Linked DNA regions of Ovis aries. The main gene of each other region encodes a partner of the protein of the gene in region 2 in a complex. Links are inferred from orthologs where the notes say so. Each region holds a gene or a part of one and is shown on either strand. Other genes may lie near its edges. The genes, in order: DOCK5, ELMO1 and RHOG.

Region 1 (3,649 bases), on a different chromosome or scaffold from region 2:
GAACACACTGTCACAGTGAGGAGGGTCGAACTCATCAATACTCCTTAAACAACCCTGTCTGCAGAGCAGAATCTTGTTAAGGGGCAAAATTCCAGGAGCCCTCTGTACATTTACCGCACTAGAACGTGGAAGGTACGAGGGTGAAGACACAAATAGGGAATCCCTGGTCCACAGACTATCTTCTGACTAGCCAATGGGCTGCGTCATTTAGTTTGGAGATGAGCCACCCTGATTCTCAGGGATATCTGGTCCCACCACATTTAACAACATGATGTGGCTTATGGAAGAAAAAGTACTTTTTTTTTTTTTTTAAACTAAAAGAAGGGAAATGACAATGTTTGGATGGGCTCATGGAACATGGTGGGGAGAACCACAACCCTAAGCGTCAATCCACATATTTTCACTGAGGGTAGATCTTGTGTCGTTATTGATTTAGAAAGTTAGATCTCTGTACCTGGTTTTCTTAGCACCATCTGAGATCTGAGCCCATCCCCAGGCTGCTGTGTCCTGAGACAGCATGACAGGCTTCAGCCTAGTCACTCACAGTTATGATGTCAATGGTGAAAAGCCTGCCTACAGGGGACATGGCGGAAAACTTACAGTCATCTTGTTTTGGGTTTTTTGTTTTTACCATCAGATCAGGTTCTGGCACTTTCTCTGTGGTGGCCTGGGACTTGCTCAGACTCCAGTCTTTAATCTTGAACTTGCTCATCCGAGTCTCGCTCTCCTCCTTGAGGGACAGATCTTCCACTCTGGCCCCTGACGAGGCCCTGCGCTCCAATAGTGGCTCCAGGACGGACCTATCAGGGATTGGGGAGGAAAGGATTGGGAGGCTGGCATGAGTGGATGCAAACTAGTAAAAGAGGCTGGATAAACAACAAGGTCCTGTTTTACAGCACAGGAAACTCTATTCAGTATCCTGTGATAAACCATGATGGAAAAGACTATGAAAAAGAATATATATGATGTATAACCAAGTCACTTTGCAATACAGTAGAAATTAACACAACATTATAAATCAACTACATGTAAAAAAACAAAGCAAAACAAAAGACTGAACTGTCAGCTACAAACAAGGACAAAGTCAGAAAATACTGATCACCTGATAGTGAAAACTGATGCCCAAAAACCAGAGGATACGACTTTTCAACAGCACTTTAACCTGTGGCTTCCTTCTCAGGTTCTAAATCCAACTTCCAACTGCCAAATGAACATCTCAAGGTCTAAGTACAGAAATGAGGCCATCCAAGCACGTCAAGAACATACTAGTGAATATTTATCTTATGCTAGGAAGATAAGATCTTACCTAAACTTATAAGTAAAGGGAGTAAAAGATGAACAGGCAGCATTATATAGTGGATAAGAGCACAAGTCCTGGAGCCCTACAGCCTGCATTCAAATCTTACCTACATTTACTTGCTGGGTGATCTTGGGCAGATAATTTTTTCATACCTCAGTTTCCTTATCTGTAAAAATGGGGATAATAATAATATCTATCTCATAAGGTTATTAGGGCTTCCCTGGTGGCTTAGACAGTAAAGAATCTGCCTGCAGAGTGGGAGACACAGGTTTGACCCCTGCGTTGGGAAGATCCCCTAGAGAAGGCAATGGCTAACCCACTCCAGTATTCCTGCCTAGAGAATGCCATGGACAGAGAAGCCTGGTGGGCTACAGTCCATGGGGTCTCAAAGGGTCAGACACAACTGAGCAACTAATACTTCTTTCATTTTCAAAGGGTTATTACAAAATAGTTACAACAGTACCTAGCAAATAGGTGCATGCATGCTCAGAATGTCCAACTCCTGGTGACCCCATGGACTGTAGCCCACCAGGCTCCTCTGTCCATGGAATTTCCCAGGCAAGAAACTGGAGTGGTTTTGCCATTTCCTTCTCCAGGGGATCTTCCCGACCCAGAGGTCGACTCTGTGTCTTTTTTGTCTTTTTTGATTCTTTACCACTGTGCCACCTGGGAAGCCCCAGCATATAGGAGAACTGCTCAAAAAAAATTTTTTTTAATTACACTGACAAATTTTAAATGCCATAGTAAGAATCATGATTAGATGCTAACATACAGAGGGGAAGAATTTGATGAGAAACAAGAGAGTCTAGAGATATTTTGAAATATCTCTCCCTAAACTGCATATTTATAAAGGGAAAAAATATAAAGTTATAAAGGGGAAAATAGTAAGCATTGTTTTAATTAAAAAAAATTTTTTTTTGGCCACCCTGTGTAGCATGTGAGATCTAGTTCTCTGACCAGGGATCAAACCCACATCCGCTGTATTGGAGGCACAGAGTCTTAACCTCTGGACTGACAGGGAAGTTCAATGATGTCTTCTTATTCATTGGGCAAATGCGGGCAAGAGCAATAACCCACCTTGCCTGGGGTCACAGCAAGAAGAGGACCCCAGTCATCTGCTCTGTTTACTGCCCTAATGGATAGCAATTAGGGGGTCTCTGGTTCTCAACAGCTACTTGAAAAAAAAATTTTTTTTAATGGGCCAGAGTTCAATTAAGAAAAGAGTCTTAGTGAAGAGAACAGAACTTCTACATGACTCTTTGTGACCCCATGGACTGTAGCCCTCCAGGTTCCTCTTTCCATGGGGATTCTCCAGGCAAGAATACTGGAATGGATTTTCATGCCCTTCTCCAGGAGATATTCCCAACCCAGGGATTGAACCCAGGTCTCCCACACTGCATACAGATTCTTTACCATCTGAGCCACCAGGAAAGCCCTTCCACAAAGTAAGTATTATCTCTTTAACAGCATGACGGAAACCATAAAAGAGAAAAGCAAACCAGGTATTGTTTAATCTTTAGGAATTTACAAGATTAAAAATAATCAATACCTAATGTAAGTGAATATATTATGAAAAATGATATAGCCACTCATATATTTCATATGGCATTGCATATTAGTATTTGTGATAATACAGTAAGAATTAGAAAGAATCTAAAAAAGACTGAATTCATGTATATGTAAAATTGAATCACTTTGTTGTCCACCTGAAACTAATACAGCATTGTAAATTAACTATTCTCCAATAAAAATTAAAAAAAAAAAAAAAACCTCTCCTGAATAGGTCATACATGCTTTTGGAAGTACATCCTATACTCCATGTTAACCAAAAGGCTTAGAAATGATATGAGAATATATCTTAAGTGAGCGTAAAGCTAAATATACACAAATACATGCTACTAATAATATAAATGCATTTTATATTGATACAACCTAAATGCTTTTATATTAAATTTATAATGAACTTTTATGATTATCTGTTTAGAGTGACACAGCTAAAACGTCCCATTATAGGGAGAAGAACTCATTATGGCACATTCATATGCTACAGTGATAAACAGCCATCAAAAATGATGAAAAAAAATTATATAGCAGCATGAATAGTGCTTATAATAAAAAGACAAAGAGGAAAAAGCAAATTACCAAACTCTATCCATGTGCTAATCTGCACCTATGTAAAGATAACTATGTCAATGTAAAAGGATGGATAAATAATTTAAGAAATAAAAAACATTTAATTTCCAGGTAGAAGACCATTTGAACAGGTTATTTTTGTGGTATGGCTATTATAGCATGAAATTAAAAGATTATAAATTAAGTTTTAAGTCAAAAGATTTAACTTAGAGTCAA
Region 2 (2,610 bases):
TTAATTCATGGTTAGATTTATCTAGTTCTGTGTTGATTTATTTCTGGTCTGTGGGTCTGCATTCTTTTCCATTGATAAATTTGTGCCTTCAAAGTGTGGTGTGTTTCATTTGGACAGTTTTATAAATTATATAATGGTAAGGAAGAAAAAAATAAAAGATAAAGTCAGTCAGGAGGTAACAGTGTAAAATGAATAGATTATAAATACATATTTTTAATTTTTTTAAATATCTGTTTTTTAAAAAGTATTTAATATGATCACTATACAGCATGTGAGATCTTAGTTCCTTGGCCAGGGATCAAACCCGTGCCCCTGAAGTGGAAGCGCAGTCTTAACCACTAGACCACCAGGGAAGTCCCTACATTATATTTTTATGAAGTAGGTCTGATTCTCTAGCTGACTTGAGATGGTCTTCTTAGAAGGATCATTCTTTACTGATGCTCAGAGCCTCCAGCAAAGGTCAAGAGTCCCCAAAGGCAGTGGTTCTCAGCCTTTAATATGCATGAGCATCACCTGATTCTTCAAGGTTGGGGTGAGGTTTAGATTCTGCAGTTTCAACAAGCTCTCAGTGATGCTGATGACTGAGCAGCAGAACCTAAATTACCAAATCAAAACATCAGCTCTCCAACTCATCACAATTAATTTTATTCCACAGCATGTTTAGAGGAATGTTATTCTCAGGAAGATGTTTAGGACTCAAATAATTAAACAAAAAAACCTGGAAAGTACACACATTTATGTATTCTTCTTTTCATTAAATATATATCTGTTTGGCAAAAAATGTTAGACTCTTTTATACAAAAACAAAGCAAAAAAAAAAACAAACCACCAACCCCCAAAACCAACAACCCAAACCGTTTGCAAATTGTCAATACCTGTAATAACTACAATGATGTAAACTTGGATGTCTGACAGTTTGACCATCTTGTGGAACCTGTGTTGCAGCAGAACCTCCCAGACCCTTACAAAGCAACTGCCTATCATCGAGGCTTTTAGATTTAGTACATTAGAGATAAAGCAGGACGACTGATTTCAGCATTGTGCTTTCAGCTAAGGGGCTGGAGGAGTATGTGGCAATGAAGAAGGCAGGTCAGGGCTGGGGCAGGGAGAAGAAACCCAAGACTAGCGGAGAGACAGAAAGGGTGGTCACAGTCACAGGGCAGACGTGATGTGGCCACGGGACCCTCAGATTGTGTCTGGTGACCCAACGTTTGCGAGAACTAGGATGAGGCAACTGCTGCTGCTCTTGGGACCAGAGAGGAAGTGGGCAGGCAGAGGCCAGAATGGGGGAGGGGGGGCATTTAGAAGCAGATTTCAATTCACATGGAACTGGTGGTGTGAGCAGACCCTAGAGAGAAGGGGAACGAGGAGTGGTGTTTGTCTTCTCAAGTAGCTAGATCGTTTCCGGTTCTTCCAGACCCAGAGCTTGAGGCACACCCCTGTGTCTGGCTGCAGATTGGGAGGAGGTCTGGGCTGCTGGCTTGGAGCCTCTAGGAGGGGAGGACTTGCCTGCTGGAATGAAGATGGAAGGGCCCTTTGGCTCTCTCATTGGTGGTGGATTTTGCTTTTCTCCCACCTTCGACTGCAGCGACGGGAGGTGACCTAAAGCAATGGAGTCTAGAAACAGAATCGGGGTGGTGAGCAGGATGCCACGGAGGGGCAGAAAAATGCCAGAGTTAGAGGAGGCAAGGCCAAAGGAAGTGTGGACCCACAGCGTCCCTTGACCACAGCGGATTCCACGGTGTGGGCGCCTTTTCATTCTTCTCTCCTATTAGCTAAATCTTCCAGTTTTGGAGGGGGTGCATCTGGGCCCAGGGTGCTTCAATTACAGTCATAGACGAAGTCATAGTTGCTGGGCTCCTTGGGGATGGGTGGAGGCGCGTCGGGGATCTGAATGTTTTCCAGGTCCAGGAGGCGGAGCTTGATTTCCATGCTGAGCAGCGTGTCCAAGTCATTCCGTGTCAGGTCACTCATCATGTCCTTCCCCAGCAGCGCATTCAGCCCATCTGTCCAGATGCAGTACTGGGGAGAAAGAAGGTGACAATGAGAACGACTGATGACAACGGCGAGAGGAGTAACAACAGCTAACACCGACTGATCACTCAGCAAGGGCTGGGCTCTGTGCTAAGGGCTTTGCCTACATCATCATTTGATAGTCAGCACCTCTATGAAGCTGACACTTCTGTTAGCATCTCTGTTTTACAGATGAGGGAACTGAGACAGTGAGAAATTAAGTCACTTGGCAGTACGTGGAGTAGGTGGGATTTGAACTTATGCAATCTGCCTCTATTGTCTGCACTCTTCCATATAAATAATGCCTCCCTACACAGCAGCAGGAGGATTTGAGTTTTTTCTGCCTGTGCAACAGACTATCTCTAACATCCCACCACTGAATCAAAGAGTTAAAGGTATTGGTAGAATATATCCTAACACTCCTGGACTCGACATCAGATCAAACTCTCCTGACTCCGAGCAAAGTTCTAATCTAGAGTTAATATCTGACTATCCTGTTTGATTTCTGCACTCAAAACGATAGTCGAACCCCAACCTGGGGCTAACGGTGGTCCCACCTTTGTATTTCTTAGCAAAAGATTTAGGAATAGCTCAGTG
Region 3 (4,323 bases), on a different chromosome or scaffold from region 2:
CATCTTCTTTTCAGTTGCTCAGCTACCTGCATTCTAATATCTTCCCAACTGTCTCACTACAGCCACAACCTCTAAAATCTTCCTGCTCATGACCCCCTAAAAATTTACGCCAGCCACTTCATCTGTCGTAACATCTTGCCAGAAACAACTCTCCGTATCCTAGATTCTCAACCAGGATCTTGACCTGAGTCACTTCTCTTCATGTCAAGAGACCCTGACCATAGTTTTTTTAGCCAAGACCTCAATGGCAGCCTCCTACAGCAGGTACATATTCCTCACCTCCACCCTCTGCAAAATATTTCCCCACTTAGATTCCCTGCACCTTGGTTATATTTTTCCGGTGGTGACTTTCATGCAATTAGCTCAAATCTTCAGTGGGGCCAGGTCTTGTCTGGGAGAACCCCTGTTTCATCCATCCTATCTTTTCTCTTAGAATCCTGTCGGTTGCTCAGTTATCTAAAATAAGTACTGGTTTGGTAGGTGGGAAGTCAGGACTCCTGGGTGGTTTTTTAACTGAGCCTTGATGCTGGGAAATTCCTTGCATATATGTCTTCCCTTGAGCTGGGATTTTTATGCAGGTCCTTGGGACTTCCTGCTGGGGCCAAAACTCTATACCTCCCAGAATGTCAGTAGGAAACAATCATGGGAACAGACAACTGTGAGAAGGGAAGGAGACATAATGGGGTACAGGAATGGCCCTTAAACCTAGCTGTGCTTGGGAATCCCACAAAAGTAGCACTTGCTCTCCTCCACTTCTCTTCTAGTGGAGAGAAATGAACAGAGTAGGCCTGAGAAGAGAGGGAAGCATGATCTCTCAGCATGCATCCCAAAGGCTCTAGAATGGAGACAGCAAGGCTTACAAAGAGCCAGGCTGGATTTCAGTTAGACTTGGAAGAAACTCCCAAAAGAGAGGGAATAAGCTCTTAGGTGAGAGGGGGAATATTAAGGATGCCTGAGGAAGAGGGGTAAGCAGAACTCTAGAGAGCTTCCTGGTCACCAAGGCTTTGATGCAGCCCAGGGCACGTGGAATCTGGCCTGGGCAGGCCCTGAAAGCAGCAGGAAAGAGCAGGCAGACACCTTTGCCTCATACCCCTCTTTTTTTCCTGAACTGGAACTAAGACATTTAAGATTGAAGTTAAACCAGCCATAGTCTTCCCTCTTGAACCCTGTACTTTCCTTCCATCACACCTAGCTGACCTGGTCCCCTTCTCCCCACCAGGAGGTGCTGGAACAAGTGAGCAATGGAGTCAGGGACTTTTAGGCTGTCCCCCAGGCTCCAGGCCTGGCCTCTTGACCAAGCACCTAAGGGTCTGGGAGATTTTGATTTCCCACGGCCTCTCTCACCAGTCCTATTCAATATTGTGTCACTCTACCCTGATACTCCGAATGCTACAGACTGCTTCCTCCTACCTAACCACAACCTCACCCAATGCAGGTTCCCTTCATTCTGCTGGCTTCCCCTGCTCTGGGCCCTCTCAAGGCTGAGGGCAGTTATTTTGTCTCCAAAAGATAAAGATATGTACATGTAGACACTTGCACGCACATACACATCTACAGGTTTTCCAAACCCTTCATCACTTTTATCAAGGGGAGGCTGCAGCCCACCTCATTGAACTAGGGTGGTCCAGTTCCCCAAAGCGGGAGATTCATTACTGAAAGGGAAGAAGACAGGGATCCATCACAGTGAGGGCAGATGGAAGAATCAAGAGGGTGGATATGTGTGCGGAGCCAGAAGCTGGGCAAGGAAGGGAGCAGGGAGGCCACAGGGAGAGGACAAGGATGGACAGAGAAGCAGGGCAGGGGAGAGGTCAGGGGCCAGGCATGACTGTGTGTTTGGGGAAAAAGCAACTGAAGAGGATACGAGAAGAGGGTGACAAAGGGTTCGCGGGTAGAGTCTGAAGAAGGAATGGAGGAAGACAGAATAACATGTAGAATTCAGGGACTAACAATGGGGGAGAGGGAAGACTAGGAGATGGCTCATCATTTTCCAAGGCTAGAGTCTTTGTGGCCTCCCAGAAGCCCTATTCTCTCCATCTCCTAAAAAACAGTCCTGCTCTCAGTGAGGCCCTCTCGCTAAGGATGATCAGCACCTCCGAGTAAGAGCCCTTCCACTTCTGTAACAGGGGAAGACCTGGTTCCTTTCCTTCCTCCGTCTACCCCGCCAATGAGCAGTGGCAGGCATCGGCCAGCTAGGCACAGCCGATGTTTGCTCACTACAATACTTGTTTCTCCGTTCCAGAGATGGAGAGGTTTTGCTTCAGACAGAGACACACAGAGAGAAGCACTAGGGTCGACCGGGGTTCCCCCACCTCCTGAGCACAGAGGACCTTGGGCTGCAGTCTGGACTGGCCTTGATCTTCCAGCGAAGGAGCTCCTTCTCCGCAGCCCAGGGCTTCAGAGGCAATAGACAGCCTCTCTCTCTACCTCACAAGTGTCACAACTGCCAGAGGAGTTCTCTAGCCCAGGGGCCCCTTCCCCTCAACACACTTCAGAACAGCCCTCCCGCAACTCCTGGGGGCACCCCATCTCTGAGTCTCATCTCCCAGCTCTGAGCTCTTCCCCTCAAGAGACTTTTCTCTCGGAGCGGGAGCCCCTCCGACCTCAGGAGTCCCTCGCGGCTCCCGGGGGCCGGTATCGCCGCCATCGGTACAGGAACCCCCACCCTCCCGGAGCCGTCGCCGGGTCGCAGTGGCCCGTGCCCGTCCCCGCCCCGCCCGGCCGGCCGCACCCGCCCAACTTGGAGCGAGCCGAGCACCTCCCGCCGCGGCCTCCCGAAGCCAAACTTCCCGGGCCTGCGCTCGCGTCCAGTCCCGGGCCGGCCGGGCTCCCTTCCCCCGGACCCTCAGCCCGCCGGCCGGGGCCGGGCCTCACCTGGTGCCCTCCCCGCTGCGGGGGAGCTGGGGGCGGCGGCAGCGGCTCGGGGCTCGAGAAGGAAGTGAGAGCGGGAGGCCGGAGGAAGTGGGGGGGGCGGGCCCGCCGGCGGGGCGGGGCGCGGGAGCGGGCCGGGCCGGGGCGGGGCCCGACCAGGAAGTCCGCGGGCCGGTCCCCCCCACCCCAGGTCGCCCCCAGCCGGTTGGCCCCCGGCCGGGTGCTGGCTCCCTCACCCCAGCCCTTTACCTCTGAGGCCCTTTAGGTCAGGGCGTCTAAGGTCAGTCCTCCCAGTCTCCTTGCCACCCGCAGCCCAGCAGAGGCCCTAGCCTAGGCGCTTGGATTTTGTGCCCCTCTCACCGTATCTTGCCCCCACCCACCCCTGCGAGAAGATGCTGAGAACGGGCGCCCCTAGGCCTGGTGCCTTCAGTCAAGCCCCGGGATCGAGCGATGGCCCAGGCTGGGATTTGGCCAGAATGGGTCCGGCTGGGACAGTCCCCACCCCTGCCCCGAGCCCCGGGGGAGCGCGGGGTGGCGGTGATTCAGCAGTGGGAAGGCCCCAGACCCCTGGGAAGGGTGCGGAGACTGGGGGAAGGGGAGCTGGCGTCAGCACCCGGGGAAAGACAAGATCAGCAGAGGCGCAGGCGGAGCCGCGGGCCCCAAAAACAGGATGTCGTGTCGTCGTTCCGCACCCGGCGGCTCCGCGCGCCTGGGCTCCGGCGAAGAAGCGGGGCGGGGCCAGGACGTGGGGCTCCCCTCGCCCCCTCTTCTCGCTGGGGCGCGCAACTGCTTGGGACAGAAGGACCGCACCCAGTCCTGAATCCTGCCGGGGCCCTGGGGATGGGCGGGTGGGCGGACTCGTGGGCGCCCTCTGGTGCTTCTGCTCTTAGGCCTTGCGCGTGGAGCTCTGACTTGAGAAAATATTCTTCGTCCAACACAAACTTTCTGAGTGCCTACCACGTGGAGGGCTGCGTGCTAGGTGCTGTGGAGGAAAACAGAGACGTTAACGAAAGGCTCCTTGTCTCCAAGAGGCTTTCCAGAGAAAGAGGAAGAACAACTCTTAGAATAAACTGTTCAACTTTTCTGAGCCTCCATTCTATCTTTGGCAATTTAGAATGACATCCCCTTCATCCTGCAGTTGTGAAGATGAGAATGGATGTAAAAGGCCTGCTGCCAGTGGCTGGCTCACAGTAAACACTCCAAATGCTTCTTTTCCTCTTTTTAAAAATCGTGTTAATGTAAGAATGAGTTCCCAAAACACAACGTGCCTGCCCATATCTTTGGGTCTTTGTGCATTCTATTCCTTCCACCTAACTTCTGTATTGACTGCCTGGCGAAATAGACTCAGCCTTTCACAATGGATCACTGCCTCCAACGAGACACACACACACACACACACACACACACGCCACCTCTGGCTTGCACTTGGTAGTCTCTCCCAGTGCTGTCTAGTCG

What was found.
Region 1: the proteins of ELMO1 (region 2) and DOCK5 are in contact, whole or in part, in a cryo-EM structure (PDB 8JHK), measured with the Homo sapiens proteins. The link is inferred for Ovis aries from reciprocal best matches to the Homo sapiens genes ELMO1 and DOCK5. Residues at the interface, in NP_001193409.1 of Homo sapiens: Ile7, Val8, Lys9, Ala11, Tyr18, Pro19, Leu21, Glu23, Glu36, Asp39, Gly40, Ser42, Asn71, Gly72, Gln392, Asp393, Leu400, Glu401, Lys468, Arg531, Glu535, Leu536, Lys539, Leu547, Gln550, Gln551, Asn554, Arg555, Asn582, Thr688; in NP_079216.4 of Homo sapiens: Met1, Ala2, Arg3, Trp4, Val14, Ala15, Ile16, Tyr17, Asn18, Ser22, Gln23, Gln30, Ile31, Gly32, Asp33, Thr34, Glu39, Tyr41, Gly43, Trp44, Arg46, Tyr48, Lys56, Ile58, Pro60, Glu61, Thr62, Tyr63, His65, Leu66.
Region 3: the proteins of ELMO1 (region 2) and RHOG are in contact, whole or in part, in a crystal structure (PDB 7Y4A), measured with the Homo sapiens proteins. The link is inferred for Ovis aries from reciprocal best matches to the Homo sapiens genes ELMO1 and RHOG. Residues at the interface, in NP_001193409.1 of Homo sapiens: Lys9, Val10, Ala11, Glu13, Tyr18, Pro19, Leu21, Met22, Ala54, Asn71, Gly72, Ile74; in NP_001656.2 of Homo sapiens: Val36, Phe37, Asp38, Trp56, Tyr64, Arg66, Leu67, Leu70, Ser71, Pro73, Gln74.

The regions. Positions count from the first base shown.
Region 1 is NC_056055.1:40,236,049-40,239,697, forward strand, and holds part of DOCK5 (dedicator of cytokinesis protein 5), read right to left. Parts: intron 801-3,649; coding exon 632-800; intron 1-631. UniProt on the Homo sapiens protein: Guanine nucleotide exchange factor (GEF) for Rho and Rac. GEF proteins activate small GTPases by exchanging bound GDP for free GTP. Along with DOCK1, mediates CRK/CRKL regulation of epithelial and endothelial cell spreading and migration on type IV collagen.
Region 2 is NC_056057.1:62,041,026-62,043,635, reverse strand, and holds the end of ELMO1 (engulfment and cell motility protein 1), read right to left. Parts: intron 2,023-2,610; coding exon 1,822-2,022; 3' UTR 624-1,821; downstream 1-623. UniProt on the Homo sapiens protein: Involved in cytoskeletal rearrangements required for phagocytosis of apoptotic cells and cell motility. Acts in association with DOCK1 and CRK. Was initially proposed to be required in complex with DOCK1 to activate Rac Rho small GTPases.
Region 3 is NC_056068.1:49,994,315-49,998,637, reverse strand, and holds the start of RHOG (rho-related GTP-binding protein RhoG), read right to left. Parts: upstream 2,938-4,323; 5' UTR 2,328-2,937; exon of another isoform or gene 2,310-2,327; intron 1-2,309.